5 linked regions of the Coturnix japonica genome follow. The protein of the gene in region 1 interacts with the protein of each later gene in a pairwise test. Links are inferred from orthologs where the notes say so. Each region holds a gene or a part of one and is shown in the gene's direction. Other genes may lie near its edges.

Evidence for each region.
Region 2: the proteins of TXN2 (region 1) and RBM45 interact in binary tests that used the Homo sapiens proteins (3 or more experiments, as listed by UniProt). The two-hybrid records come from large-scale screens. The link is inferred for Coturnix japonica from reciprocal best matches to the Homo sapiens genes TXN2 and RBM45.
Region 3: the proteins of TXN2 (region 1) and PPCDC interact in binary tests that used the Homo sapiens proteins (3 or more experiments, as listed by UniProt). The two-hybrid records come from large-scale screens. The link is inferred for Coturnix japonica from reciprocal best matches to the Homo sapiens genes TXN2 and PPCDC.
Region 4: the proteins of TXN2 (region 1) and SCYL3 interact in binary tests that used the Homo sapiens proteins (3 or more experiments, as listed by UniProt). The two-hybrid records come from large-scale screens. The link is inferred for Coturnix japonica from reciprocal best matches to the Homo sapiens genes TXN2 and SCYL3.
Region 5: the proteins of TXN2 (region 1) and AGTRAP interact in binary tests that used the Homo sapiens proteins (3 or more experiments, as listed by UniProt). The two-hybrid records come from large-scale screens. The link is inferred for Coturnix japonica from reciprocal best matches to the Homo sapiens genes TXN2 and AGTRAP.

What each region holds. Positions count from the first base shown.
Region 1 is NC_029516.1:47,243,208-47,248,661, forward strand, and holds the end of TXN2 (thioredoxin, mitochondrial), read left to right. Parts: intron 1-3,417; coding exon 3,418-3,534; 3' UTR 3,535-4,114; downstream 4,115-5,454.
Region 2 is NC_029522.1:13,805,319-13,811,089, reverse strand, and holds part of RBM45 (RNA-binding protein 45), read left to right. Parts: coding exon 1-99; intron 100-882; coding exon 883-1,075; 3' UTR 1,076-1,079; intron 1,080-3,997; 3' UTR 3,998-5,771. UniProt on the Homo sapiens protein: RNA-binding protein with binding specificity for poly(C). May play an important role in neural development.
Region 3 is NC_029525.1:1,692,273-1,698,043, reverse strand, and holds part of PPCDC (phosphopantothenoylcysteine decarboxylase), read left to right. Parts: coding exon 1-128; intron 129-2,101; coding exon 2,102-2,270; intron 2,271-5,771. UniProt on the Homo sapiens protein: Catalyzes the decarboxylation of the cysteine moiety of 4-phosphopantothenoylcysteine to form 4'-phosphopantotheine and this reaction forms part of the biosynthesis of coenzyme A.
Region 4 is NC_029523.1:6,562,274-6,568,587, reverse strand, and holds the start of SCYL3 (protein-associating with the carboxyl-terminal domain of ezrin), read left to right. Parts: upstream 1-2,002; 5' UTR 2,003-2,110; intron 2,111-2,678; 5' UTR 2,679-2,786; coding exon 2,787-2,951; intron 2,952-3,377; coding exon 3,378-3,563; intron 3,564-3,981; coding exon 3,982-4,095; intron 4,096-4,519; coding exon 4,520-4,576; intron 4,577-4,988; coding exon 4,989-5,091; intron 5,092-5,598; coding exon 5,599-5,710; intron 5,711-5,940; coding exon 5,941-6,018; intron 6,019-6,314. Other genes in the region: KIFAP3 (kinesin-associated protein 3), read left to right, coding at 1,158-1,266. UniProt on the Homo sapiens protein: May play a role in regulating cell adhesion/migration complexes in migrating cells.
Region 5 is NC_029536.1:4,898,635-4,905,057, reverse strand, and holds the end of AGTRAP (type-1 angiotensin II receptor-associated protein), read left to right. Parts: intron 1-1,500; coding exon 1,501-1,535; intron 1,536-1,740; coding exon 1,741-1,852; intron 1,853-2,471; coding exon 2,472-2,670; intron 2,671-2,892; coding exon 2,893-2,931; intron 2,932-4,192; coding exon 4,193-4,299; 3' UTR 4,300-4,929; downstream 4,930-6,423. UniProt on the Homo sapiens protein: Appears to be a negative regulator of type-1 angiotensin II receptor-mediated signaling by regulating receptor internalization as well as mechanism of receptor desensitization such as phosphorylation.

The sequences.
Region 1 (5,454 bases):
CAGCTGTTGCCCACCAGTGTCACTTGTAGCTTCTGTGGGCTGAGCACGAGAGTCTCTCATGTTCTTGTTGGCAGCAGTGTGTTGAGTGCTGGCTCATTGTATTGCAGCCTGATGGTTCTGCAGCTTAGGGACACTGGTAAGAAGAAATTGAAGAGGCTGTTTCTGCTGTAGTCGGAGATTAGGTAATCCTGATAGGTGCAGGGGAGGTTCTGCAGCAGCTATCCTAAGGAGAAGAGAATGGAGATTATTAGCTTAACTGTAGTATTGTCCCAAGCCTTCCAGTAGGCTGAATTAGCGAGCATTACAGTAGGATGATCTCGTACGACTGTAAAATGGCAAGCAGAGTACAAATATGGGAAGAAAGATCTTGAAAAAGATGCTGCAAGTTCCTTTGTTCTGCAAGTGTGATTACTCATTGCATGCACTGCTACTGGATGTGTGTGAGAAGCTGCAGGCATACAGCTATTTATTGCAGGGTCTGTCTGTCTTCCAGCTCTGATGGGCGTATGTGTAGGCAGCAAGGGCTGGCTTCTTTTTGGAGCCTAACATACAGACACAGTAAAGTTTTGTTTAGCAAGAGGACCCCTGGATCATCTCTGCATCTTCTGCTCTTGCAGTGATGCATGTATCTGGTCCTGACCATTCTGCACGCAGCTGAATCCCTTCCCTGGTAGTGTTGGTGAGTAGGACAGCTGCAAATGGGTAAAGGATAAAGTTTGGTTTGATTCTCATGTTTTGAGGCACCCTTTTCATAGCAGAAGTTTGGGTTGTGCGCCATGCTCATGCTTGGTCTTGTTCAGTCTTCTGTGAAGTTGCCAGCTAAGGAGATGTGGGCATGAGAGCTGACGGGGAGATGCTGAGGCAAGATCAGAGGGGAGACATCAGGAGAGCCAAAGAACATTTTTTATTTACTTACTTATTCATTGAGTCTTTCCATCTGAGATTGGATGTCTACAGGCTCAGGTTTATGTTTGAGGGTTTCAGGGTCTGTTGCCATCCTCACAGTTCCCCACTAACTGCAAGGAAGCCTCATCCACCTGTGTCCATTCCCCTGCCCACATGCGTACGCCGCAGGTTGCTGCCTGATTGCGCAATGTACTTTCCACTGGCTTCCTTGGTGCAGAGGGGGAAGATAGAGCCCCCAGGAGGAGCTGGAGAGTGCCATTAGCTCCCAGCAGCCCCATCTAGCATGACACACAAGAGCATTTCCTGAGACCAGAGATGCCGCAGTCACCCTCCTCCATTCAGGTAGTGCAGCACGCAGGTTCTTTCTCTGAGGGTTCCCCCTATTGGCTTGCTCCTCTCCTTGCCAGTTGTGGCCTTTTGCTGCTCCTCCAGCCTGCTCTCGTCCTCTTGAGAGCAGGAAGGGAGGAGTATTTTTGTTTAATTTGCTTTCTCTTGAAATTCCTTAGATTCCTTTTTTGCCTTGGCCTGGTGCCTGTTGGGAAGGAGCAGCCCTTGCTTCTGCTGCTCTGCATGTGGGCATGTGAGCTGCCCTGTAGAATGATGGACGTGGGGACATTGGTTGTTGGCAGAGCTCGTTCCTGCTATGCTTTGTTCCTAAGGCCGGGTGAAGGCTTTTCCCTGCCCAGCTCTTGGTGCTTTCAGTTTTAGATGGGAAAGAATTCCCTCAGCATGAGTGCTGCCACGAATAGCCTGTATGTCTGCTTACATTTATCTGTTTGGCCGGTGCTGATCAAAAGCAGCCTGACTTTTTCTTCAGAAATGCTTTGAAGGAAGAAGAGAGTTTATTTAGTTTATTCAGTGCAAACCAAGCCCAAAAAAAGAAGGAAAAAATAAAGCTTGCTTTTCAGTCATTCTCAGCAGCAAAAAAAGAAGTATGAACCCATGCAGCAAAAGCAAGTACAGCAGGAAGGATGCTGTCAAAGCACTTCTGAGCAGCTGCAGGGTTCCACAGGGTTCCTTGCTCTCACCCACCTCACTGTACCGAGGCCCTGTAACCTCGGGGTGCTTGTTACAAACCCAGTTTGCAGTCCAGAGGGAGGCTTGGTGAAACTTTGCCCTTCTGAGAGAGGAAGAGACCAGTCAACTGCAGTATCTTTCTCATCCCTAAGATCCCGAGCAGCTTGCCATGCGAGCAGCCTGGCTCTGCCTCAGGCTGTCACTAGGAGGAGCTGAAGAACCTGTGTCGCAGCAAGGCTGGTGGGGTGGTAGCAGCCTCGGTGCTTCCATCCACTCAGATGGAACTGCACAAACCCCAGAGGACAGACTGCGGGTCCAGGCGGGAAAGGAAGAACAAAATGTCCCTTTCATCTCAGCCTCCTGCTGGGAGAGAAGCCAGACCTCTGGAGGGTTTCCTGCAGGAAGGATTTCTGAGTGTGGTAGATCCGTGCTGGCAGCAGGGCTGGGACAGCTGGAGCACACAAGAGAAGGCCCTATAGGTTGGCACAGGGGACAAGATAAGGACAGGAGGTGGTTGGGGGGAGAGGAGAGGCATTGTGCTGGAGCTGGGTAGGGGCGAGCAGGCTGTCATGACTGCGTCTCTGAGCTCCAGCAGCTCCTTCTCGTGATCACATCTATGAGGTCTCTTCTGTCTCCATGCGCTCAGCAAGTCCCCAGGGAGCGTCATCATTTCCACTGCTGTTCTCTTCAGCAATTCCCAGCAAAATTTGTTCTGGATGAGAAAAATAGCACCTGGAGCAATGCAGCTGGGCTCTGGTTGGAGGGATTTGTCTTATCTGATCAGCAGGGGCAGAAGAAGAAAGATGGGTCACAGGGGATTAGAGGATGGCAAAAGTCTTCCTCCTGCCTGCCAATGGGTGGGGAGCCCTCCTTCAGCTCCTGTGCTATCTGAAGAGGAATACAGGTCCTATCTGATACCACCCTGGCCATAAAAGTCTAAAGGTCATCATGTCAGAGAGACAGCCTGGTAAAAGTCTGGGTTTGTCTGTTTATGATAGGGTAAAAGAGAAGGAGAACCTGTACTGGAGAGGAAAATAGCTTTACCTTTTGCTTTTATATTAGGTTATTAGGTGTGGTCTTGTCTTTTAAATTGTAGGTTTTATTTAAACTAGAAAAGCTGTTGAGACTTAACATAGACTGCTGTATAAGGCAATGCAGAGGTGAGGCCACAGAGAGAAGGAACTCAGTCAAGCTGTCGTTTTGTAGATGTGCCAGCTTTGAGCAGTGTGGGGTCAACTCCCCAACCTGCAGGCAGAGCCCTCATCACTGCTTACAGCCAGATGCCCTCAGCTTCAGAACGCCGAGTCCCTGCAGTTCAGAAGCAAGGCTTTAGCAAAGAGAAAAGCTTTCTGTCCTTTGTTGGCTGCAGTTGTCTCCCTGTCTGAGGCAGGGGATTCTGGATGGGCACAGCTGTAGAGCTCCATTTGGGGCTGGGTGCAGCTGGGCTTCTTGCAGCTCTCTGCTCACATGGATTTCTGTCTCTCTTGCCCCCAGGTGTCAGCAGTGCCAACAGTGCTGGCGATGAAGAATGGAGATGTTGTGGATAAGTTTGTGGGGGTAAAGGACGAGGATCAGCTGGAAGCATTCCTCAAGAAACTCATTGGAGCCTGAAGTTAAAGGGTGGCTGTACCTCTGCCTCTGAATATGTTCATCTTGTGCATTCCTTGTTGAGTTGAGGAGCACGTGGGCTGCCTGCCTCGTACAGCCTGGGGTTTTCTTCTGTTTGGGGGTCTTAGGAGATGGACAATGTTCTAACCCTTCCTTTCTGTTCCCCCCTTCTCTTGAGCAGCAGTAGTTGTAAAGGATGCTGAGGAGCAGAGCTGCTTATCCTCAAAATGAGGAATGCAGCTGGGATTAGGAGCCCGTGTTCATCAACAAATTGCTGACGTGTGGAACTTCTGCTGAGCTAAGAGGAGGAATATTTTCCTTTTGTCTACCATCTGACAGTCCAGTGCAGAGGGCAACTGCTCCAACATGCGGAGGCTTATCTGCTCTGGGTGGGTTTGTTTAAAGTTGAGAATGCCTCTGCCTTGTCTCTTGAAACTGTCTTGATCCTGCTGTTTGGATGTCCCCAGGACAGGTACAAATCCTCTGCAAACCCACAGGCTCCCGTCATAATTTTATAAGAGAAAATAGAAGTATTTTATGGATCTCCTTTTGTAGGTCTGTAATAAAGAGAACTTTATCGTCACATCTGTCTAGCTGGAGAATGAAACTTGATTCTCTGAAACCCCGGGGGAGCCCCTTATCTGTCCAGAGTAGCGAGAGGCACTATCAGCAGAACAGTGGCTGGTTCCTAATGATGGGTTGGGAGAGTGCAGGTTATGACTTGATCTCTACTAAAAGGTAATGTTCTGAAAAACAAACAAGTGGATCGCTGTCACAGGGCTCCCAGTGCTGCTCCTGTGTCCCACATTAGGTGCAGCTGGATCCCAGGCTCTGCAGGGACACTCCTTGTTTGTGCAGAGGCAGTGGCTCACTGCCCCCCATGCTTTCCTCACTTCCTTTCCAGTTTGAGAGCTGCCCTCCTTCTTGTGTAGATAATTCAGTCTGCTCACATGGGTGACCCTTGACAAAGGTGGATTTCTGACTCTTAATTGCCCCAACCTTTAGACTGAGGGAGGCAGCTGTGTGCCCATATCACCAACAGCCTTCAGCCCTACCCAGCTCTCCCTCCCTGCACACGCTTGGTGACTTCAACGTGCTCCTGGTTTCCCTGGGCAGTGCCCTACTCCCAGTTCCCTCTTACTGTAATACTTCACATTGGTGTGCATAGCTAAGATGCATGAGGGCACTGTATGTGCTTAACAGCCACGTAAGGGCTGCTTTCTTGTTTTCCTTCCCACCCCCGTTTCCCTCAATCACTCCTAACTCTGCCTTGGCTCTGCTCCATTTTGCCTCCCTGCCATAGGTTGTTCTAGGCGATGAGGCGAGTTTGTTCTGCACCTTTGTGCCAATGATTTACAGCCTTTTAAGGAGTGAAAGAAGCAGCCATCCAAGTCCTGTGTGTCCCACCGCAACCACAGCACTGTTCCCACCTGCGTCCATCGGGAGCGGCGCAGCCCCCCAGGTGGGTGCCTTCCCGGCAGGGCTGAGCTCACGCCCTGGCACACAGCCTGCACAGCGCGCTGCCTGCACTGATGTCAGCGGGCTGTAATTCGGTACGTTGTGAGCAGTAGGCAGTGGCATTTGCTTTTGTGCTGCTGCAGACCGCAGAAGGCAAAGCTGCTTGTGGCCCGCTCCTGTTGTAATCTGCCCTGCCTTTTTGGTGCACCTCAGTGTTCCTGCTGCCCCCTGAACGCTTCTAGTAAAGACCATCCTCGTTTTCCTGCATGTGCAGGAAGAGTAGGGGAACAGCGTCACGTACCCAACAATAGCCAACTCTTATGCTTCGCCATCCCACAGAACAGGAAAAAACACAGTGACTTTACATTGTGTGTTTAAGAGACAGTATAAATCGGCTGTTTTATCGCTTCCTTCTAAGGAAAAGCGGAGCCAATGTCCCATTCGGCTATGCCCTAGGGTGCGTTA
Region 2 (5,771 bases), on another chromosome or scaffold:
CAAAAAAAAAGTTCCACCTGACACTTCTGTGAAGGAAAGGCTTTTTGTACTTTTTCATCCTCATCCCTTACCTGTGACTGTATTGGAGGATGTTTTCTGGTAAGGCTTCTTATATTGATAAGTGTTTTCCTGAACTGTGGAATAATGAAAATAAATGCTGGAAATTAAAACAACAACAACAAAAAAAAAACCGAACAACAACAAAAAACCACAACAATTAAAAATAGTAGGAATGAAACAATATGCACTTCTGTTAGAATTCTAAGGTGTACTTTATTTTATGTACTGGATTTTCTAGTCTTGGTACTTACATAACTTGAATATGAATGAAATAGACTTCAAACTTGTTAAGGTACTGTCTAGGAATCTCCTGAGGATTTAGATTTTCTGTGAGGCTTTAGCTTTTGCTTTGTGAGTCATTTCAGCACAACCTTTTTGAAGATGAATCACAGCTGAACAAGTTCATTTAAATGCGATGTGAATGAATTGCCTCAAATGCCTTTGCAATTGTCTGGTGTTTTTCTTTTGGTGGTGGGGGGGGGGGGTGTTTTTTACTCGTTTAGTATTTACTGTGTGTGACTATTTCATGGAATAGCTTTAGTGATCCTAAAGGAATATGTAATACTTGTGCTTCTATTGCAGTATTCTGTAGAAGACATTTCCTTACAGACCCCTGGGCTTATTTCTATTCTTGTGCAGAATTCTAGAATAGGGAATGAAAACTAGGACTTTTCAAGGAGGATAACACAAGATATTAAGGTGTATGTGCGAAAACATAGAATTTGCAGCTACTGAATTTTGTTGAGCTGGGATTAGATGATAAGTGTCAGTGCTGCAGCAAAACCTGTCAACTCTCTCCTTTGTTGCTGTTATTTTTTTCAGCCGTTTTGGAAATTTAATAAAAGTTTACCTTGTGGCTGGGAAAAATGTGGCCTATGCAAAATTTGCCGACAGAGCAAGTGCCAGTGAAGCCATAACTGCGTTACACGGCAAGATTGTGAATGGTGTCAGACTTAAAGTAAGGTTGGCAGACTCCCCCACAGAGGAATCTAACAAACGTCAGAGAACCTACTAAGTAGGTGAGTACCCAGTTGGAGTGGTTGCTTAAGCTGAAGTTCAGCTATTTGAAATAGTTGGAAGCAAAGAGTTTTGAAATTTTGTTGATAGCTAAAAATAAATTTAACTTAATTGGGGGGTGGGGTTATATGGTTTGTGTGTGTGTATAATGTATGGGTGTGTATATGCTTATACATGCACTTTTATTTTAGCAAAGAAATCTTTATTTTTTTAATGTTTCTACAAATATGAAATGATTAACAGTCTGGATGTTCATTGAAACATTCACTTAATGTACATAAAAGTATCAGGTCTGACTGAAAGAGTATTGGAAAAATAAACGTTGTAACTGAGACCAGCTTGCGTGTGTCTTCCTTTCATTACATACACGTGCCTTGAGCATGATGTTTGATAAAGATGCAGAGTTTGTCCCTGGAAAGGACAGATGAAGGAAGGGGTGTAAATGTCACAAAGCAAGACCAAAAAGGCAAGGCTTCAGTAATTTGGGTAATCTGGACTCTCAAATATCAGATGCAGCTGGAATGTGTGGTGGTGGAGGTGTATATTTAAAATATGAAGTTTAAATATTTTAGTTAATTATATGGCCAATAAACAGTGTCAGAGCTCATATATGGAGGTTTGCAACCAAAGCTCACTTGTTCTTAGGAAATGTTGGTTTGATTCAAATGTAAATATTACTTTAATACCCATTATGGGTATGGTTCTGAATCATTTCAGTAGCTGGTTTTCTACTGTTGGGGAGAAAACAAAAGAAATCCAGTTGTTTCTTTTTCTTCCTTCCCTTTCTCATTCTAAAAACATCACTTGAAATCCTAACTGTCTTCACATTGGTGTTTTACTTAGTGTCACACCTTGTCACTGCAATGTGTAGGTGTGTTCTGTGACCTGGGAGTTAGAAAGGCCAGAAAAAGATTTCACCTGTATGGTTCTCCCTCTTTTCCTAGGGAGTCCCATGTTTCTCTTTTGATAAGCGTCGGTTTCTAAAGGTCTTAATACTCTTCATGTACAACTTAAAAAGAAACAAAACAAAAACTAAATATGTCTGCATGGAATTGGAGCTAAAACTCTTTTGAAGCTTAAAAATTGGCAGGTCCAGTGAATGTAACTCATACCCATGTTTTTATCTTTATTCACTAAGTTCTTCTTTCTTAAATGTGATTATTATTTTTTTTTTCTTTAAACTTCTAGTAATAAAGGACCAAACCTTTCTGTCACTACAGGGGAAGCTATGATTTGAAGTGCAATGTCGTATCAATTCTGTTTTGACTGGAGGAAAACTACTTTATAGAATAGAAGAATAGTTATGATAAACATCCAAAATTAGTAGTAAACCTCAGAAAATGTTAATTCCTCTAAAAAATAATAATAATAATAATAATTGCAGGCTGCAGTTGTTTCCTGAGTGAAGATGATAGATACTGTCTGTTACTTGTAAGATTTGCTTTCTGTAAAGTAGTGTGTGAAAGTGATTTTAGTGTTTTCGGGTTAACTGCTTACTATGCAAAGAAGTTAAGAGTTGAGAATTCTTGGGTTTAGTGAGAAATTTCTGGATGTAGGAGGAGGGAATGTTCGTGTTTTGAGAAAGTATTGCTGTTTGTGTTGTAAAGGTTATCTGACTGAATGATAAGAAGACAGACCAAATAATTATTTATAGTCTAAAATCTCAGTTTAGAAGGATTGAGTCTGAAGACATGGATCAGTCTTAATCTATGAATATGCTCAAGTAAGCAAAGAGAAGAAGTGTGTTTTTTAATTACTTTTTTTTTTTTTTTTGGTGGGAATATATAGGATCCTGTGGCAGGAAGCTGATGCCAGATGTATTCACCTGATGTAGGGAGCCTGCTTTGGCAGGGGGGTTGGACTTGATGATCTTTGGAGGTCCCTTCCAACCCTTACGACTCTGTGATTCTGTTTTCACAAAGTAGAAATAAAGACCTGGCTCTTTTTAATGGGGACTGTCTGTCAGATGACTATATGGGGAAAAATCAAGGAGGATTGTGTCTTGATTCCAGTCTAACACTATTTATTTTTGTGGTTTGGGGTGTTTAAAATCTGAAACTGAATGCGTAATGGTGCTTTCTGCTTTAAAATGTCAATGAACTTGGTGTTTTATACTGTACTGCAATACAAAGAATGGATGAGAGTCTGTCATAGATGTCACAGACAAAAAGTGAGTACAGGGTGGAAAGCTTTGGTTATTACTCCAAAACAGTGGACTTTCACTGGCTGCAGAAGCTACTCTGTCCACTGTATTAATAGTGGGTGGGGTATCAAATTAATAGCTCTACTCTCCTGTTTTTTCTTAGGGTAGTTTTTTTTAATTACTGAAACTAAATTGTCATCTTACCCTCTAATTTTCCTAATGCTGCTAACATAAAAAGCGTAACAACGATTCTGCAGGTTTGCAAATTCAGTAAGGGTTTGGTTATTGGTGAAGGTTACTGAGATAAGTGAAAGGAGTACTTGGCAGCCTTCTTACTGTTGCAGAAAATGTTAATAAACAAAAATTAAGAATTCAGAAGATGCCTCTTATCACGAATCCCTGAATTGACTTGAATTTGTTTTTATTTCTTAAATCTTTCTCAAAAAAACCCTTCAAATTTAATGTTCGCATGATGATTTGCTGCTGTGCAAAAATATTTTAAAATAGGAATTATATGAAAGTTGAGAGATACACCAAATTAATAATTTTTCAAGTACTATTTATCAGCTGTGTACTGTAGAAAAATTGCTGACTTTCATGCAATGTTCAGAATGAGACTTTTTCTTAAGGAAAAAAAACAACAACAAAAGGACAAATGTGTGATGCTTAATGTTATTCTTCTGAATGTGTTAAGAGCCCTTATCACTTACGCTGTTGTAAAGCCAATAGGTATGTTGCTTTTTGATACTTTTTTTGTACTTGTGTTTTTTTCTGCAGAACTAAATAGTGACATGACCCTCGACTGACTGACTGACTGAAACGTGACTAGACATGGTTCCTGGGGACAGTGACATCCTTTTTTCCTTTTTTTTTTTCCCTTTCCTTTTGCATTGTTGCTCTGTTGATGTCGTGCTTTCTGTTTTTAAGAAGTGTGAACATGCAGTTATAAAAGAATCCAGCAGTTTTGAAATTGTATACTGACGATTGTTCATGTAGAATCCTGTTTTCTTGTATTCCAGAAATAAATATCTCGTGCTAAACTAAGCTCCACAAACATGGAAAATGCAGTGATGAGAGTCAGGTTTTTGTGGCTTGACCTGGTTAATTGATAGTGAATCAAATTGTAACTATGCTATTCTGAAGGCACTTCCAGTGACCAGAATGCATTGAAGTAAAGCAGTAAATTGAAAGAAAGCGAAAGAACTATTTCGAAAACTACTAGCATATTTGAGAGTATTAAGTCAGATTTGATAGAAAAGCCATACTCATGAAAGTGATTCAAGTACACTCTTGAATATTTCACTGACTTGAGCCAAAAGTATTCGTTATGCTTTATGTGCTATTTAGCGTAAAGGGCATTTGACTGTGGGTCAAGCTATCAAAGCTGCTTGCATTTATCATTTTCTTGAGGTTCTATCATTGTAACTACAGAAAAATGGAGTCTGGGAGTTTTCTTTCCCAGTTTTTCTTAAGAAGCTTCCAAAGAGTACATTGTTGAAGAACTGGTTAATTGAATAACAGTTTAGTATTTCAGCAAGATGAAGATGATTTGAGCACTGCTAAAGAGTAAACGAAGATAATTTGAATAAGTATTTGCAAAGATGATTGTCAAATACAAATACTTCCTGAATGTTATTTGTTGAATTGAAAAATGTTGGTTATTAAATGTTCACAGATAAAACTGAAATTCTAACTGCATGCACACTGCTGTACAAGCACGCTCTTTGTACCTGGCTTCCAACTCCTCCAGTGCTGATCCCTTGATCCTTAAGTGGGGATAAATAGCTGAGCATCCACAACTTCCTCTGTCTTTGAGCACTTTCAGAAAGATGTCCTTCCAAAAAGTCACCACCCCACAGGTAGGTGAGAATGTAGTTCCATGACTGATGTTCCTGGGATGAATTTGGCATTTGTTTCCATGTAGCTCTCTGAGCTTTAGTATCATTTTACCCTTTATGGACTCCTTGCTGCCTTCTCAGTCCCCCTTATTCTTTCCAAGACAAGAATAGTTGCTGACAAGAAACTTTTCCAGCCTTCTATGTCGTGCTCCAGGCCCCTGACCCTCCCAATTCAAATAGCCAGTGTGCAGAAGCATGCTGTCTTTTAAGTGATATTTTTGTGTCTTAAGTTATGCTTCTACCTGTGGTAGATAGCCTCCTTTTCTTGTTTCCTTTGTTCTTCAAAGAGCAGGAGGAATTAAGGTGTTGGTAAATATCTCCAACTGAGCTGAGGACTAAATCCTTTTTAAATCTTTCTCTGCTGTTTTACAGTATTAAAAGGCATATACCCATAAAAATTCTTTCCAGGCAGGAGGTTGCTTGAAGGGGAACACAAGGGTGTGAGATGCAGAAGAGTTTGATACGGTATTTTTAGCTGGAAAAATGTGCTTACTCAAAACATACAACTTCATCATTTGCTGTTTCACAGTCAGCGGTCTTGAAATACTGCCGTAACAATAATGACCAAGTCCTCTTGATTAGCTTTCTAGTAGAGTAATGTGAGTGGACCTACTGTAGGATTAATGCAATTCATACTTAGACAGTGCAAAACA
Region 3 (5,771 bases), on another chromosome or scaffold:
TGTGGAAGGGCCGTTCTGACCCAGTCCTGCACATCGAGCTCCGGCGGTGGGCTGACCTCATGGTGGTGGCCCCTCTTGATGCAAACACACTGGCAAAGCTGGCAAACGGTATCTGTGACAACCTGCTGGTGAGTAACTGCAACTCTGCCTTAGGGCAGTCCCTGCATTCTCTCCCCTCCCAGCACCAGTCTGACCTTTCTGTCAAGGAAACTCTTGTGCTTCAGCAGCGTCACGATTTGCATGTTCTGCTGCCACCTCAGCTGCTTGTCTTTCCCCTGCTAATATCGTTCCTCTGCTCCTTTTCCAACTTCCCTTCCCATACCTATATCCTTTTCCATTCCTGGGTGCTCTCTGTCTCTTCCATTATCTCCCGGTTCCTATTTTGTGCCTTTCCTGCTTTTTCTGTTGGGTGACATTTCTCTTTCTACCTCCATCCTCTCTCTATCACACATACACACACACATGCACACACTCACACTCACTTTTGAGTTCCTCTCTGCGTTTTTTAGATGCAATCTGGAAAGGCACCTGTGAGATCAGATAAAAACTGTTTACTTCCTGCTACCTCACCTCCTCCCTCACCTAACTGCATAGCACAAATTCAAACGTGTGCACACTTACTTACCTTACACTTTCAACTATGGGGTTTTTTGCTTGTTCAGGCATGTTTTGGGGATTTTTTTTTCTCTGATATTAGAAGTGCTCTGTGTCAGAGGCTGAACAGAAAGTGTTTGTAAGGAGAGCGTGTGTCTCGGTTCAGTGATGGGGAACTTCAGTGGAACTTAAGTCCTTTGTATCCATCCACTGAGCCTTCACCAGGAAAGGTCATGAGTATCAACTGCCCAAAAGATCTGCCAGAAAGCTGTAAAAATGCAAATACTGTGTTGCCCTTCAGTAATACAAGGAGGCTAGAATTGGGAATTGAGGGCAGTACATCAAGCCTGGCTGGGGAGCCCTGCTTGGTCAGCTTAGCTGTCCAAGTAAGAAAAGAGTACCTACAGATGAGAAAAGTGCATCCAGAGCTACAGCCCTGAATCGTACAAGCAGTCCTCTGGAGATATAGAGATGTAAGAAAGTGCTGTGATGGGGGCAAGCAGTGTCTTGTCCTTCTGAACCCCATCTGTAATGCAGCCAACAGAGTTCAGGAAGGGTGTTAAGGACACATGGCTTCACAAACTCCTGCCAGTCATCTTGGTTACCTTTGTGTAGGGAAGTACTGGAGGTGCTGGCTAGCAAGTTGGAACAGGTTCCTCTGTGCCAGGAAGGGTTCAAATCATGGGGCATAAAAAAGGATGGGCAGAATTCTCTGAAGTATTCTGAAATGAGCACGGCTCCAGCACCAGGGACTGGTGCAAGGTACCTGGGAGACTCCCTTTGCATGGCTGTCAGGTCTAGGTAACAGGCATTGCACTGTTTAACAGCAGTCACCATTGCTCTTTTTAAGGAGGTAAGGTGATATTAGCTTATCTGGAAGCTGTATTTATTGAGGAATTAGATATGATCCTCTGTAGCATGCAGGAGCTCCTAGGTGGTTTGTAATCTACCAGCATCTGCTGCAGCAGCTCAGCTGTGTTCCTGTTATCCTCTGTATGCTGGAAACAGGAGTGCTTCCCTTGTCAGCAGTTGTGGATCCAGTTGGCGTGTTGTTTAAGAAGATTCACTTGCCAGCTTTTTGTGTTTAGCACTACAGCTGGCTTATCTGAATTGCTGCCTGGGGATTTCTCTTTAGCTGATACAATCTGTGGCCACCCCTCAACTACTCTTGGTCTCCCACATGGGCTGCCTGCACACGTTGTGTTCCAGCTTGATTTTGTCCAGCGATTGGGCTGTTTGCTTGGCCCTGAGCTGGAGCAGGATGGAATCTATTCTTTTTGTAGCCTCTCTCATCCTTCTTGCCTGTCAGAGAGGAGGTTTGCTGGAATGCAGCCTGCATTAGTAGCAGCCCTGTGGATTTGCTTACGGGCTAGTCCAGCTGCAGTGATGGATGTTTTGGCTGTCTCGTGATACCTGGAGTGGGAAAATGCTTCTGTGCAGCAAAGCGAGCAAAGGGATGATGAAAAAGAACGTGCCTCAGAGCTGAACTCTTTGGCTTCTTTTCCAGACTTGTGTCATCCGTGCTTGGGACCTGCACAAACCCCTGCTGTTCTGCCCGGCTATGAACACGGCCATGTGGGAGCATCCCATCACAGCTCAGCAGGTGGAGCAGCTGAAAGGCTTTGGCTACACAGAGATCCCCTGTGTGGTGAAGAAACTAGTGTGTGGAGATGAAGGTCAGTCCTGTTGCATGTCTTCTGACTGTTTTCCTGCCCCAGTGCTCCTTTTACCCTGAAGGGAGGTGCCTTACTCTTCTGCTCTGTGACCTTCCAGATGTTAGACTGCAGTGAGCAGGTGCTCATGGCCAAGGTTTGTACAAACAACATGTCTGTGCTAGCTAACACCTATTACTCTTGTTCAAAACAAGCTGGTAGATAGGTCTGATACTTAAAAGAGATACTCTGAATCCTCAAAGAGATCAGATCAAAGAGAAGCAAGGCTCTGCGGTGAGCATTATCAGCCTGGGATTCTGGTGTCCCAGCCATGCCCTCTGCTGAGACTGTGGGCTGTTTCCATCATGCCTCAGTTCCTCATCTCTGACGTGGGGATAATATCTTATCCCTTAGAGCAGACATAGAGGATTAGCACTTTGCAGATGTGGCTGAGGGTGTAACTGAACATACATTTACCATTTGTTGTTGTTTGTTGCCTGGGTTACTTTTCAGCTCAATCGGCTTCACAGTCTCATTTTGATCTGGAGTTCTGACATCAGCCTTGTCTGTGAAGTGAGAGAAGGGGGTAGGAAGACTTGTCACGCTCAACTTTCAGACTTAGAGTGCCAAGTGAAAATGTCTCATTTGTATTCTAGGAACTGGTTTAAATGAGCATGTTTTGATTTTTGGGAGGTTTCAAGAAGGTTTTTTTCTATATCAGCATTTTGGATGAATGGATTCACTTCTTTAATTTAGTCTTTTGTGGACAGTTTGTCTGTAAAACATCACCCAATTCTAGCCATAATAGCAGTAGTTTTATTGCCTGCACAGTAATGCACTCGTTCTTTCATCTGATAACCCAACAACAGCAGGATCTTAACCACTCAGTCAGCTATCTCAATGAATGTCTGTCGTGGAGACTGGATGCTAACACGTTCTTCATGGTTAAATTCCAGGGCTGGCTTTCTTAGCGTCTGAATTCTTGGGTAGATGCAATGCTTTTAGAGAATGTTTTTCTGGAGATGATGACTTAGAAATATTTACAGTTTAGGTAAGTGTAGTCAAGTAATTCAGGCATCAGCTGTAACTGTACTGGACAATTATGTTTCCGCTGGGGTTTTAGACCTGATTACATCAAATTTCCTGTGTGCTTGTAATAATGTTAAGGGAAAACGCCCAAAAGAGGTCATTCTGTGCAGACATTTTGGCAGGAATGGAAAGGCCATCTGGCATAACTTCTTAGTCCCTTGGAGCTTTTCCTTTATCTCTTTTTGTACTTGTATAGGACCTCTAGTCCTATAGCACACTCTGAGTGATGAGCTTATTCACACAGGTCCACACACCTGAAGCAGAGCTGCGGTGTTGTCCCTCTTTGGCAGATAGGGATATGAGATGCAGAAGGGCCGTGTGTGTTGACTCAGTGATGCAGATGGCTTTGAGCTGGATGCTGAACATGCTTTCTGTGTTCTGCTGCTTTGCCCTGCTGTTCCCTGGTGTTTCTGCCCTCATGGTAGTGATCCAGGGCCACATGAGAAGCAGTGTGTCCATTGCTGCGGTTTGCAGCTCACAATGGCAAAGCCAAACCAGTACTGATCAGGAGTAACCTCATTATAACTACAGTCATTTGGGAGCTGCTTTGCATGTAGTTCAGATGTTCCTATAGTGAGAATGAACTCCCAAAGAAGCCTGTAGGAGAAGGATGGTATGGACAGCTGAGGCAGGAGTAGCCACATCTGACTCGGCTTTGCTTGTGCTTGTGAGTCAATTTGCATCAAGGTTTTCCTGCTGGCACATGCCAGGGTTTTCCCGGCAGCAGGTAGGAAACTTACGGCAGAGCAGTAAAGCACCCCAGGTCTCTGAAAACACAGGATAGTCTTCCCCAGTGACTTTTTTTCCCCACCTTCCTCTTGGTTTTTTTTTGATGTTTTTATTTTTCAGGCCTTTCCCCCCAAAACCTCTTTCTTCCACACTAATTTCTGGTTTGTGGGTTTTATCCACAAAAGGGTTTGCTTGGCTTCCAATGGCCAGATAGCAAAGCTCACATCTGGTGCCGAAGATTCAGTTTGCACCAGTTTTGTTTGCTGACATTGTGGTTTAACTTGCTGTTGAGTGAGGTTCATCTCCTACCACTCATGTAACTGAACACACCTGAAGTGGCTGCCATCATGTTTCTGTATTACAACCACGTTTCTTCCATACTAAGTGGGTGTTTGAACGGCTCATGGCTCTAGATAGGCATCTGCATGCAGAGTTATGGAGTGTTTGTAGAATACATGGCATGTAAAGGTGGATGGGAAAGTTAAGGGTGGGTGGGAAAGCTAAAAAAGGAAACTAGTGAATGGGAATCTGGATTGTTCACATCTGAGTCCATGCATCAGACGCTTCAGGTGTTTTTAGACATGGAGTCCAGCTAAAAAGAGTTAAAATATTCAATCTAGTTGCCAATTTAAATGTTTCCTTGATTGGATAGTTAAATGTAACCTAAGGGTTGCTGGCTTTGGTAGTATCCATCCATATAAGGAGAGCTCTGAGAGGTGCCATACCACATGCAGGCCTGCAGCAATTTATTGTTGCGAAACACTTCCAAACTGCTGGTATTTTCTTCATCCTTGGCTGAATTTCTGGATCCTGGCACAGTGGAAGAATTTTTCGCCATAGGCACAATGTGTGCTGTGAATTGCCAAAGATGTTGAGAAGGTGGGTTGTGTAGGATGAAGGCGGGTGTTGGAAGTGCTCTTGGAGGCTGTCGTTCTGCCAAACGTAAGGGTGCATTTGGGGAATTTCTTTTGTTTAGCAGAAGGCATCAAATGCAGCTCCTCTCAGAACAGGAGGCGAGAGCCACCCACATCTGCCTGCATCTTGTCTGTGGGGTGCTTCAAACCTTTTAGGTTTTATAAGCCTGAAAATGATGGAGTGGAGATCCTCACTCTCGGTTTTCTTGTCTTTCCAAAAGCATTGCACTTCATCCCAACTCCTCACTGTTGCATCCAGTTATACCTTCTGTCCCAGGCAAGGCTCAGGTGTCTCATCTGAAAGCTGAAGGTCCTGTCCGATTCAGTGCTGTGATCTGCCCACAGAGCACACCCTTCTGCTGTATAATATGGTGTTTTCTCTTCCATCTCATTCTTCAAGTTGTAACTGTCCTTTGGAACCTGCTGGTTTCACTATTAGTCTGTGCACACGCTAACCCAGCTGTGGAAGTGAATCAGAAGAAAAAGAAGAAAACGAAACCTCCCAGAACTAATTTTTAACAACAAATAGGGCTCGTGTTTTAAATAATTACAACAATTAGCCAGCAAAACAAAAGACCAGTAGAGATTACCATCTTTGGAATCTTCTAATGGAAACAGATGCTGGTGGGGAGGTATCAGGAGTGAGTGGACTGATTTCTCTGTATGCACAAGATTATTTAGTGCTCTCTGATCTTGAAGTTTTCATTCTAGGTTTAAAAAAGAGTGTTTCAGAGCAAAAAGTAGATTAGATGTTCATCTGGAAACTAACCAGTCCAAAAGGAAAAGCTTTTAC
Region 4 (6,314 bases), on another chromosome or scaffold:
GCTGCCAGCACTGCTGCTCTGCTTCCCTCCTCTGCAGAAGAGACTGCTCAGACGTGGGGTCAGACCGATGGCTCCGTATCCAAGTGCTGAGACAGAGGCTTTGCCAATTCAAATACAGACAGGCAGGCGTGGAAATAGCAGTGTGCTTTCAGGGCACTAAGTTCCTCCAGAAGCGTTCAGGTGAGACAGAATGGTTTGCTCTGCATTTGGGCTTCTTGGTTGCTCCATCCCTTAGAGGACAAGTCTCAGCCTTCCACCCTCACATGATCAGAGCATCCCATATGGGAATGGGTCTATGCCCTCCCAAAGGCACCATGAGGAAAATACATTGGCAAGGACAGTGCTTGGACGGGATCCCCCAGTGCTGCAGCTGAGCCCTTCCAGCCCAACCAGTTGAGCAGTGCCAGCTATTTGGTGAGTCAGGGCCTGGGGGCCATTGTACATCGCCTGGATGGGTCATTCTTTCCCAGGCCTTGGCTGCCGCATAACCCATGTTCCATATGTATAACTGGCAGTAATGAGGTTCAGCTTTAACCCACTCCAAAAGCACTTTGGTTCTTTGTGTTTTGACAGGAGTTCAACTCCCTTCAATGCATCTTTAGTCAGGCAGTAAATCAGAATCCTTTGCCATTTGTCCTACCGATGTGGAAGTTTAGAAGTGACACAGCCACTTTTCCCTACACAGTTCTCGTGCTGTGGCTTTTTTAGGTGTGGAAGATACTGTTCTGTGTGACAGATGGTTCATTGTGTCCCATTAGAAAACAGCCACTTGATGTTTGATGCCATTTCTGCCATTGGCTGTGGGTCTCGTATCCCACCAGCAGCACTGTCCTTTGAACTGTATTGTATTGCTACACCATATATTGTCACTTTCTCGTCTGTGCCCCAGGGCCTCAGAATTGTGCCATTTCAGGGATTATTTGGATGTGCTGCTTTTCTGAGGAAAGAGCTGTTGATTTCCCTGCAGCTTTTCTGCTTTACCATGCAGGAGGATGGAACGGCGCTGGCTGGGAGGGGGAAGACATTGAGCTGCCTCCAGGCTGGAAGAGCTGCAGCACCTTCCCCCCTGTACAACAGCCTTGGAGTTCCTTACAGCTCCTTACAGCTCCTTACAGCTCCTTACAGCTCCTTACAGCTCCTCTCCCTTCTTTTTACAGCATTGGAGTCGATGGCTTCGGTCAGTCCCCAGGAGCTCCTGGCCGCCCAGTGACTGCCTATGGTTACCGCCCCGATGAGCCGTACTACTACAGCTATGGAGCACGATGAATGCGGGGCTGCTCCTGCCTGCAGGGACCAGAGTGTGCATGGCAGGTGTAGATGTGTCCCTTGGTAGTGCATGGGTCTGTCCTTACGTGTCCTTCGGTGTGTGTAGCTCCAGATAAACCCAACCTTTCTGGGTCCGCTGCTGTAGTGCTGGTGTTAGTCTTTGGTTGCTCTTTAATACCATGTTTTGTACAGGATTCGCTCTGTGATTTAAAAGCAAGTGTTGAAAAGCTGCTGGACTGGAAAGCGTCACGTTCTGTATATGAAGCTACTAATTTAATTTCTATTAAATACAAAAACCCGTGTGGTCAGTGTTGAATGCATTAATAACCTGCTTATTCACTGGGGTTTAAGCTGGATCTAAGCACAGAGCAGGGACTGATGCCCTATAGATGCAACATACAGGCACTGCTCTGCAGTTCAAACAGTTCCCTAGTGATACAGCTGCCACCACTGCCATTGGGGGCGTCCTCCTAAGGTCCCCTTTGAAATCAAGGAGGTTTGGGGGCAACACGGGGTGAGGAAAGGCAGAAGTGAACAGATATGGTTGGCCCAAAGGGCAGGAGCTGGTTGGGAGCCTTTGAGCAGCGGTGTGTGAGCGGAGCCGCAGTAACAGCGCGGGATGGGAGCGGTGTGTGGAGAGCACGATCCCCCGCCCGCACCGCAAATGGCCGCCCTGCCCGCGCCCAAGATGGCGGCCGCCCGCCCGGCGGGTCCTCCGTGCCGGCAGGGGGCGCTGGCGGCCGCTCCCGCCTCGTCAGCTCACGGCGCTGCCGGAAGCGCAGAGTGCGGCCGGACCGAGCGGCTGCGGGGCGGGAGGCGGCTCCGAGCGGCCGGGATGGAGCAGGTGCGGGACGGGACGGGACGGGGGACGGGGCGGCACCGCGCGGACGGAGCCGCCGCCATCGGGTGCCGGGTGCGGGCACGGCGCTGCCGGCCGGGTATTGGGGCGCTGCCGGCCGGGTATTGGGGCGCTGCCGGCCGGTGGCGCCGGGCAGAGGCCCCGCTCGTAGCGCGCGGGTTGTGAGGAAGGCCGTAACCACGGCAGGTTAAGCCCTGTTACATCAGTTAGGAGCCGTAGCGCTTCCTGGTTCCTATCGCGAACGTGTCCCTGCGGCTCCTTCCCCCGGCGGGAGCTCTGCCTGCTGCCAGGAGCTGTGCCGCCCCGGAGCTGTGCCAGGCAGCGGGATGCGGAGCTGAGGTGGGAGCACGGGGCTGTGGGTGCAGCGTCCTGCATAGAGAACACTGCAAGAGCCCCATCCTGCTGCGTGTGAGTGCTGCTGCTGCCCAGCAGGCCAACAGTTGGTATAGCTTACATTTAATACAGGTCATAACGTGCTGAGTATAGACTTGTTGGTTGATGAGATGAGCAGCTGATGGGATGAGGTTCTTCATGGCTGTCTGGTGCTTTGCAGAAGATGCTCTAAAAGTGAACAGGACGGCGCCTGCCTCCACCTGCACAACTCTTCCTTGTGACCCATTTGCCGCCAAGAGGGAACGTCTCCAGCCCAGCTCAGCGAGGGATGGGCTCAGAGAACAGCGCTTTGAAGAGCTACACGCTGGAGGAGCCGCCCTTCACGCTGCCGACTGGACACACCATTCACCCGGCTGTGCTGCAGGATGGCAAATGCACTTCTGTCTTCGTGTACAAGCAGGAGAATGAGAACATGGTTAATAAAGCCGCCAAGGTACCGCAGTGTGTGTGCTGGGATAGAGCTGTCAGAGCTCTGCCTCCTTAGAGAGGTGGGAAGCTGTTAACGAGGGTCAAAGCCTTCGGGGTGAGGGAAGAAGCAGTCGGGGCTGTCCCTGTCCATGTAGCAGGGAAGAAGGGGGTCGGCAGCTGCAAAGCTCAGTGCTCAGATAACAGCACCTGCCGGCATTCTCAATGTGCCGATCTCCTCCTGCATATCTCAGCACCAGAGTCTTTCTTAGGCAGACTCACAGCACTGTATTTATTCTTTTGTGTAAGCATCCAGGTGTGCCATAACGTGCTTTGCAATGAGCCATGTGCTAAGAGCTCGGTGAGCAGCAGGCTTGGCTGGCTCGATTCAAGTAGAAAGCCTGGCTGAGCTCTGCAGTGGCTGAGATGTAACAGATGTTTCTGTCTCTGGAAGCACCTGAAAACCCTGCGCCACCCATGTCTTCTGCGCTTCCTCTCTTGCACTGTGGAAGCTAATGGGATCCACCTGGTCACTGAACGGGTGAAGCCTTTGGAGACGGTCCTGGAAACACTTTCTTCTGCAGAGATCTGCGCAGGGATCTACGACGTGCTGCTGGCGCTCACCTTCCTCCATGACAGGGTAGGTACCAGCAGCACCACGCTTTGCTGGGAGCAAGAACTGTGGCAGCAGTGTTGTAACTGGGTTTGTATGGATGACTCTAATTCCTCGCAAACACACTCACCTGCTGGAGCAGAAATGCTAAGCCACGTGTTTATTTACAGCTGTTGCCACATGTCAGAGGTTGGTGTCACTGCTCCCCTGTTCTGGCATTGTTTGTCTATGCATGAACATAAATTCCAGCTCAGACTGGAGCTTCTGAGCTTGTCTGTAGTTAGTAGTTGTCTTTGCATTTACAGTTGCGCTGTAGGGGCTGTCACAGTTGGTGCTGCTCACCTGCAGCATCCCAGAGGCCATGTAGCATTATGCGCTTCTTGGCAGCTTTTCTTCGGTTCCCTCTTAGCTCCGATGAAGATTTTGCACCTTTCTTATGTTTTAGGGCAACCTGACGCATAACAACGTCTGCTTATCGTCTGTGTTCGTAAGCGAGGACGGGCACTGGAAGCTGGGAGGAATGGAAACAGTCTGTAACTTTAATGAAGCTACCCCAGAGGTAAGAGCCCAGCAGAGCACACCCCTCCAGTGCCTGGGAAGGGGCTCCTGGCCTGTCAGCACTGGGAAGGCTCATGTCCAGCTCCCAGCTGAACCATTGCTCCAGGAGCACTACAGCTATACTTGTCATCTACGTCAACTGAAACCAATTCCCAGTAGCCCCAAATGAGCTACTTCTCTAAGGGAGGCAGCTGGCTGGAGGGTCATGGAATCCTATCCCTGCCCAGATGGATCGTGGACGATGGGACCTAAGACATAAAGGGATGGGTTGGCTGTGGTGCCTTGAAGTTGCCTGTGCTTCACACCTGTAGCAGCTGAAGGAGCAGGGGCACATGTTAGTCCTGGCCTGTGGGGAGAGCTCGCTCCTGCTGCTTGGCCCAGGTGGGCCCCGCAGGCAGCTCACATCTCCCCTCTTCCCTTTCCAGTTCCTCTGTCATGTCAAATCAGTGCGAGACCAGTCGTGCATCCCATGTGAGGAGATGGTGAGTGACCTGCCTTCGTCAGGAGCTTGTTGCTGGTGACACATGACAGTGCTGTATTCAGAAAATAGCTTTCACTCACACGCTTCGTTTCCTTATGCCTGAATGGGAGGAAGTGGCTGCTGGATAATACCCGAGGTTTATTTTCCTATCCCTGGTTATGCTGAAGGTTGTTGACTCGCAATTGCAGCATGTGTTCAGGGGGGAATTGTTACACCGTGATGCTGTCGCTCCTTTGGGTTTTAAGTTCCTCGGTGGAGGTGTTTGTGTGCAAGACGCTCTGTGTATTGGGTACCGGGCGGAGCTTTGGAGCTATAGAAAGAACTGGAGAGTGTGTGTGGGGAGGGGTGGAGGTCTCTGGCAACTTCTGTGAACTCCTGCTTTGCTGATCTTGGTTTTTGTCTTTTGTTTTCAGTCTGCAGATTTCAAAGCTCTGCCCGTCAGCTGTGGGCATGCGAGGGACGCGTACGCCTTTGGGGCCATGGTGGAGAATCTCCTGACAGCCCTAAATGATCACGGTGAGCCCATGTTTATTTGCAACATGTGGACCTGTGCAGCTTATCCCTTGTGTGTGTCAAACGATGCAGCTCTTGTTGCAGTTGACACGTGCTGCAGGTTTAGTGGCCGTCACTGTTCTTGGGGTTTGCAAGGTTAAATTCCAAACCTCAGCATCTCCTTTGTTCCCATTTACCTGCATTTGAACATGGTCAGACAACAGAAGTGCTCCCAAATCTGTTTTGTAGCAGAGATTTGCACAGCTCTGCTCCCACCAGAAACTTCTCTGGGTGTTTAAGGCCACAGTGCTGCGTTCCACAGCTGAGCAGGGGCTCTAACACTCCTTGGTGTGACCAGCAGCACAGGGAGAAAGATAGAGATGCTATTATCTCTTCCTTTAGGAGCAAATATGAGTCATGTTGCAATCAAACAGATTCTAAAAGTAAGTTTTCAGGAGGGGTGGTGGACTCCTGAGCAAAGCTTCCGCAGCAGTGAGAAAGAAATCTAATTGCAGGTGCTCTGGCTTTCAGTTTCAGCAGATATTCTCTCCAGCTTTCAGCAGACCCTGCACTGTACGCTGCTGAATCCAGATCCAAAGTGTCGTCCCCCGCTGTCCAGCTTACTGTCTCATGAATTCTTCAGGTAAGGAAAGAAGCATCTCACCTCCTGGTATTGCTTGTTCCTGTGTTGTGAGTTCACTTAGTGAAGGCATGTTACATCGCTGATGGGACGTGATCCCTGCTTGTTACAGGGCTCTTTCTTGAAGAGCCCTTCAATTAAGAAAGCACAATCAGCCTTCCAGCTGAGGAGCTGCGTTAGCACCATCTAATCTTGGTGATCTCAATCTACGTTGTTGTTTGTTTTTTGCTTAGGAACGATTTTCTGGAAGTTGTGAACTTTCTGAAGACTCTGACGCTAAAATCTGAGGAGGAGAAAACTGAATTTTTCAAGTAGGTGAAGGAACCGTAACCTGGAGGCTTCCTGTTTCCTATTTCAGAATGCATCTGTCACACGGGTGTCAGGCAGCGCTGGGGAAGTGGTTCTTTGGGTGCCAGATTTTGATTGCTTTGGCAGGATATTGTTTGCTCTGCCAGCAAAGCTTTCTTTCATGAGATGATAATGAGAGTTTTGGATAAGACTTATTGAATGAATTAATCTTGTGGTCCCAGCCTTGTGTGGGCAAAGCTGTTGTCTGTAATGGATGTCCAGGCTGCAGTAATGCAGCATCTGCAGGAAATCCTATTGT
Region 5 (6,423 bases), on another chromosome or scaffold:
AAGAACTCTTCAAAAAAGCAATGTATGCTCTTAGGTATGGATATATCCCCCTGAACAGATGGGAATGAATTCTTCTGTCTCACCAGGAGGCTGCCTGCAAATTATCTCACGTAATGACTGCAGCTTTAAATAATGTTTTTCATTAACACTCCGTTTTCTGTGTGAAAGCATACCGAGACCATCAGCCAATTCCATAGTGCCCTGAAGAGCTGTCAGATAACTCAGACTAATAGCTCGGAAGGAAATGCTTTGTTTTTCTTCCAGCAGCCCCCTGGATTACCAGCCCTTGCTTACCTGACGTTATGCTGGTGATGGAGCCAGCTTCTTAATTTAATAACTGCAATATTGATCTAGACAGCTTAATATATATATATATATAATAAAACCCACTCTGCGTAATTATATTAACTGCTGAGCCTTGAGGGGTCTTGTGAGTGCATAACGTGCAATTAAATACTACCTAATTAAGAATTTCCCTGATGTTGTGATCGTCTCTTGGGTGAATGCTATTTGCATGTCTCCGTTCTTATCCAAGAACATCTTGTATTTTCCTGATTAGCAGTTTCTGCCTGGTCTCTGCGGTGCAATCTGGGAGGAGGGGGAAGCAGCGGGTGGTGCTGGAGCATTTTGTAGGCTTTCATGAGCAATTAAAAAAAATAGTCATTATTAAAAACCTGTTTGAGCAGCGTTTGATGTTCAGGCGGTCTGTGCTGAATGCTCAGCAGATGTGATAGGGTGCTGCAGTGCAACCAGGGCTTTGCCTTATGATAAGATATCTATGTTGTGATATCTTGGCTGGACAGTCCAAGCCATTGCAGCTGCATCGCTCCTTCTGGTTTCACTCACGTCACAGCTTCATGGGTCATTAACTTTCCTGAAGCCACGAGTTCTGTGTGAAGTTAGAGCAGGTGTAGACATTTTGAGTCAATAAATGTGACAGTATTTGGGCACTAGTGTTGTCCCTGGAAGTGAAAAGAGTGGTGTAGCATGGCAGGATTGGGTCTTTAGGTTCCTAGAAGATGACTTCAGGTCTGTTAATATTGGAGCGAGGCAGGTTGGAAGGGGGTAAAGGGGAATTCACAGTGAAAATGCTGGGAGCTGCAGTCATGACAATTCATGGACTTCTTGGTGGTGGGATAGTAGATTGGTCATATATGAGCTGTGCTAGTTTAGTGTGAATTAGGTTGTCTGGCTTGACTTCTGGAGTTCCAAAATCAATAACACATTTAGAAAAGGCTTAAGCATGCCCTGAATCCACTGTCAGCAGTGATGATGACAGCAATGAATGACTACAGTGGAGCACAACAGGAAATACTCAGCAACAGAAGCAGAGAAAAAATGGTTTTGTCTTTGCTGGACCTGTTGCTAGGGTAGTTTTTTGCACTGGTTCCAGGGCACCCTCCTACTCTCTGTCATGGAGATGAGGTGGTATAATTTTATATCATTTCTCCCACAGTTTTCCCACTTGCTGACCTGTCTTCCTCTCTGTTTTTTCCATAGGCCATCATTCTGGTGCACTGGCTGCTCACAGTGTGGTGAGTGATTGGTAACTGGCCTGGCTTGAGAAGAGCTTCCTTCAAACTAGGAATGGGATGTTCTTGGGGAATCGGCACTCCCTGTTCACACCTGTGTGCAAGGAGATCCTAAGGCCAAGTGCCTGTATGGGAGCAGGGATAAATGCAAACACTGCTGCAGGCTCCTTGTGAACTTGGGTTGGGTTTTCTTTGTCTTGTTTGGCAGGGGATGCATGAATAACTCGTTTCCAGCCTCCTATGCTTGGGGGAATTTCAGTGTCCTTGCAGTGGGGATCTGGGCCATTGTGCAGCGAGATTCCCTTGATGCCATCGTGATGGTGAGTGTGAGGGCATTTGCCTTTACCTGGCTGCTCAGGGAGAGGGTGGAGGGCAGAAAGGTTCCTTTGAATCAGTATAGTGATGATCTTCAGCTGCTCCCAGTGCAACAGTGAACAAGTCAAACTCTTCATTTATTTATTCTTGTCTCCCCAAGGGAACCTGGCTTCTACTTAAGCACTATAAACTGTGGTGAGAAGCATTCACTATCCATTATTTTGCTTCTCAGGGGTAAGGCATACTTGGTTCTTATTTTCTGCCTGCTGTTGTCGCTTTCAATGCCAGAGGAGGATTCAGACTATTTAATATGCTTGAGTTAGAGATGTCTTTAGAGATTCCCTTCTCTGATCATTAAAGAAATTGGCAAGCATAAATAAACAACCCTGGAACATACTAGTAGAAAGCGTCCAGCAGATGTGAAGAAAATACATGATGTATGAGATCATACGATAATCTGTTTACCTTGGGGCTGTGTCAGGGGTCATACAGAGGTTTTGTGTTATACAGAGGTGAAAGCATAACTGTGTGAATGCTGATCTTCTAGTAGATAGAACCTATAACTGGCTGTTACTCCTGGTAGTTAATTCCTCATTCAATTCATGTCCTGTTCTCTCTTTCCAGTTCCTGTCCGGCCTGCTGTTCACAGTCCTCACAGACATCATTCACATCTCCGTCTACTACCCTTTACATGCTTATCTCATCGATGCGAAGCGTTTCAGTATGGGCATGGCCATCTTCAGCCTCCTCCTGAAACCCGGATCCTGCTACTTTGTGTATCGAATGTACCGGGAGCGTGGAGGAGAATACATCTTCAACATAGGTAGGTTGCTTCCTCTAGATCAGTGTGGGCCACATCCTCTGATGTTAGAGAAGGCTGCTAGGGAAGAATTGTACCCTTCAGCCTCAACCGTGTGCATCTGGATTCTGCCCCTCTTTCCAAGGAGAAGAGGATGACCTCTCTCTTCCTCGTGTCTGTTCTCACTTTTGTGCTCCTGCTGAGTCTTAGGCCTTAAATTTATATTCTTCCTCTCTTCCCTTGCAGACCTGGAGTCCTCGTCTGACAGCCGTTTTGCCTACAATGGTATTGATGCCACTGCTGTCACTCTTACTCAGTTAACTCAGGTTTTTCCTCTCTTCCTGCATTCTGTGCGCTTCTCAGAAGCCTTTGGGTGTCCTTCTCACTTTGTCAACCTTTTCCTTCTGTGGGGAAGTAAAGGCATCAATCCCTTCTACCTGGGAATTATGCATGTGAGGAAAGGGTGGGTTTCTAACTCTGTGTCCTAGCTATCTTAATTGTTGTGGACTGCTGTTTCCTTACCTGGGAAATGGGACTGACGTTTACCTTCTGCTGCTTTGTGTGGAGGCACTTGTTTTTCCTCCTGGCTGTAGTTGCTAGGAATAATGTGGCAGCCCTGCCAGAGAGAGGTGTTATAGTTGGGTATTCTGTCAGCTTCTTTGCCAAATATTCCTGGTGCTAGTTCATACTGGGGCAGCTGCCAGAGAGTGTTTGCTGTGTGGGAGTTCATCTTGGCAAAACCAGCAGCCTAGTGCAGTTGTCTTTTTCTTTCCTGAGGCTCTGTAGGACAAAGGGTGGTATAACTAGCACTGCAGTGTTTAAAAGCTGCCACTTAGACTGCGTTGGTGTTAGCAAAAAAGATGAGGCTTCTTGTGAAAAGAGGTGGATGCTTGTAGAGAAGGAGAGGCTGTCAGAGGAAAATGGTGGCTTCACAGTATAGTTTGCATCTTGTAATAGAAGAATGTGGATGTTCTCTCCATCAGCTGCTTGGGCAGATGCTGGCAGGTCTCTCTTAGCTGGCTCAGAAGGCCTGTGTGCCATGTCTGTGCCAGTTTTTATTAGCTGCTTACTCTACTTGTAACTCAGATTTGATATCTGTATCCTATAGAAAGTATAGGTGAGTATTCTCCCTTCTCCCCATGCTACTCCAGCACAGGCATGATGTCAGAATCTCTTCCCAGGCACAAGCTGGAATTCACTCACGTAGTATTTTCTTATCCTCTCCTGAAATGTCTTTCTCACAACATTCTCAGTACAAACCATGTGCTGTTGTTTTCTGTTGAACGTGGTTGACAATTTTTCTCTTTTCCTACTAACTGGCATTTTTCTTTTGAACTTAATTGTGATTTTCCAGGTCCTCTGTCTTGTCTTTCTTTTGAAACAAAAGCCCTCTTCACCACTGGGCAGCATCCTCACTGTGTAAAACAAGCCTGTTGTGGTAACGTGGCATGCCACTCAACTTTTGGTTTCTTCTAAGAGATTCCGGGTGGTTTTTTTTGTGCTCATTTTATTTTATTTTTATCAAGCTGGTTCTCTTCTTCTTCAGGTCTCAACCGTGCAGGCCGGGACCGCAGCGCCTATGAGACAATTGATCAGCAGGATGCCTCTCCACTGTGGCCTGACTCAAGCAAGACAGCTCAGCAACCATATTGAGGCCCCTGTCTGCAGCAGAATGGACACCTCCCTCCCCCAGTCCAGCCTTACACTCCTCCCGTGTCTATTCTGATGAAACAAGACCTTCTACTGAGCAAACAGAAGAGGATCTGATTTGACTTTTTCCTTCCTGAAGATTAGACAGAGGGGTTCTTGGAGTGAGTCCGGAAGATCTCAAGTGACTTTAAGCACTGTTTAAGCTGTTTAAGTGCTGTTTAAGCTGTTTGTAATTTCAACACACTGCTTTCCTCTCTCCCCTTGAATCCCTCCTATGTATGTGCAAGTGGATGCACCTTCTGCATTCTACTAAGTCTTGTATTGTGCATCCTCTCTATTCTAAGTAAGGGAGATGCACAGGATGTTCCTGGGCAAGCTATCTTTAACAAGCTTAAGGACTGCCCCTAAAACAACAGTTCAACCCGTTTTGTTGTTGATATGTTTCCAGGAAACATCTGGGACTTCTTCAGGGCTGTTTTTGATGGTGTTTTATAATTAAGATTTATGACCATAACTCCCTGTGCTAGCTGTGGTGGTTTACGTGCAGTTGGGGTTGGTATCAAGTGCTCCTACTGGGCCAGGGAGCATTCACTGATGCTTTTATGGAAGTAAAATGTTCTTCAGGATACTTAATGGCTGCTAAATGTTGATTACATATGTTCTGTGCCTTGAAATGTCCTTTTGCCTTCAGCTGCCTGTCTTAATAGGACTTAAGTGTTACACTTTTCTAAGAAAAACATAAAATGAACACAGTTCTTCTGTGTTAGAAAGAAAAATTACACTGGTCACCCATGTTTCATTTGAAAACACTGCTATTCCTGAGGCTCTGGGAGGGTTATTAGGGGGCAAGGTCTACAAGGCTTCAATGGCTCTGTTGTAAGCATTAAGCAAACATGTGGAAGGTACCGCATGGAGATGTGTTGGCAGTGAAGGTGAGTGAGTTAAAGGGCTAGGGAAGGGAAGAGGTGGGTTTGTGGTGAGCTCTGGAATGTGGCAAGCTATAAATGTAGATCTTATACACATTAAACCTGCCCTGCTGTGGCTTTCAGGGGGAAATCCTTACAAATAAATGTTCAGCAGGTTTTGTCAGAAGAAGGAAAGATTGTCAGCCTTGGCTGAAGAAAAATACAAGAGCTGGGAAGATGTGTGTTTTTCTGAAGCAGGTTCACTTTCAAGGTATGCATTTGTTATTTGAGAATTGCATTTCTCTGACAAGACCTGATGCTGTGTTGACTCTTCAATGACCAAAAGCCCTGTTAACTTTGCTCTACCCCTTAGGAACATACCATTTGTATCTTTAAAGGCAAGCATTTTTCTTTCAAGTTTTGTCACTCCAAACATTAGCAGATGCTTCGTTCCCTCTACAGCACCAGCATTACGATGGCCTGCTGCTGTGCCTGGACCAGTGTTGCTTATGCTTGGCTGAACACACAGTAGATGCTGCAGAGCTGCATTAATCTGATTTACTCTCCCATGATGAAGACTAGGTAGGCAGAGTTTGTTTTTTATCAAGTCGCAGGGTGGGTTTATCCAGTGTTTTACTGTTCTTGAGAACTGTGCAGTGACCTTATAGATCCCATGTTCAAACACTCAGGAGATAGGCAGCTTTTTCTTCCCTCGACCTGTGAACTGCAGACAATTTTCAATGCAGCACTTTCTGAGTATTTGCATGAACATATGGTTACATCTAAGGAAGCTCTTCCAAGCCATTCTCCGTTGGAAAACAAAACAAAACAACAACAAAATCTGCATCGGTGCCCATCTAGTTGACGTGCTGTGTGTTTTCCTGCGGAGAGTTCAGCAGATGTGAGGGCAGCGCAGAGGAGCAAAGCAAGGCAGGGGTGTCAGCACGCTTGCTGTGAATCAAGGATGCCAGTTCTGGGCAGTAAAGCAGAGACAGATAACAGTAAAAGCTGTGCCCCTTTCCTGGCTTCTGAGGAAGAAAAACCAGTCGTTGCTGCCTCTCCCTCAGTGGTGTGGGGTTGAGGGCAGAGAGTGGCCCATCACCCAAAGCATCACTGGCAGCCGGTGGGTGAGGAGGAGAAAGCGGTGTCCCCTCTCCATGGTGCTGAGTGGGCGCTTTGTGCTGCGGCACCCGTGAGAGGTCGTGGCTGAGCTGCCCTGCCG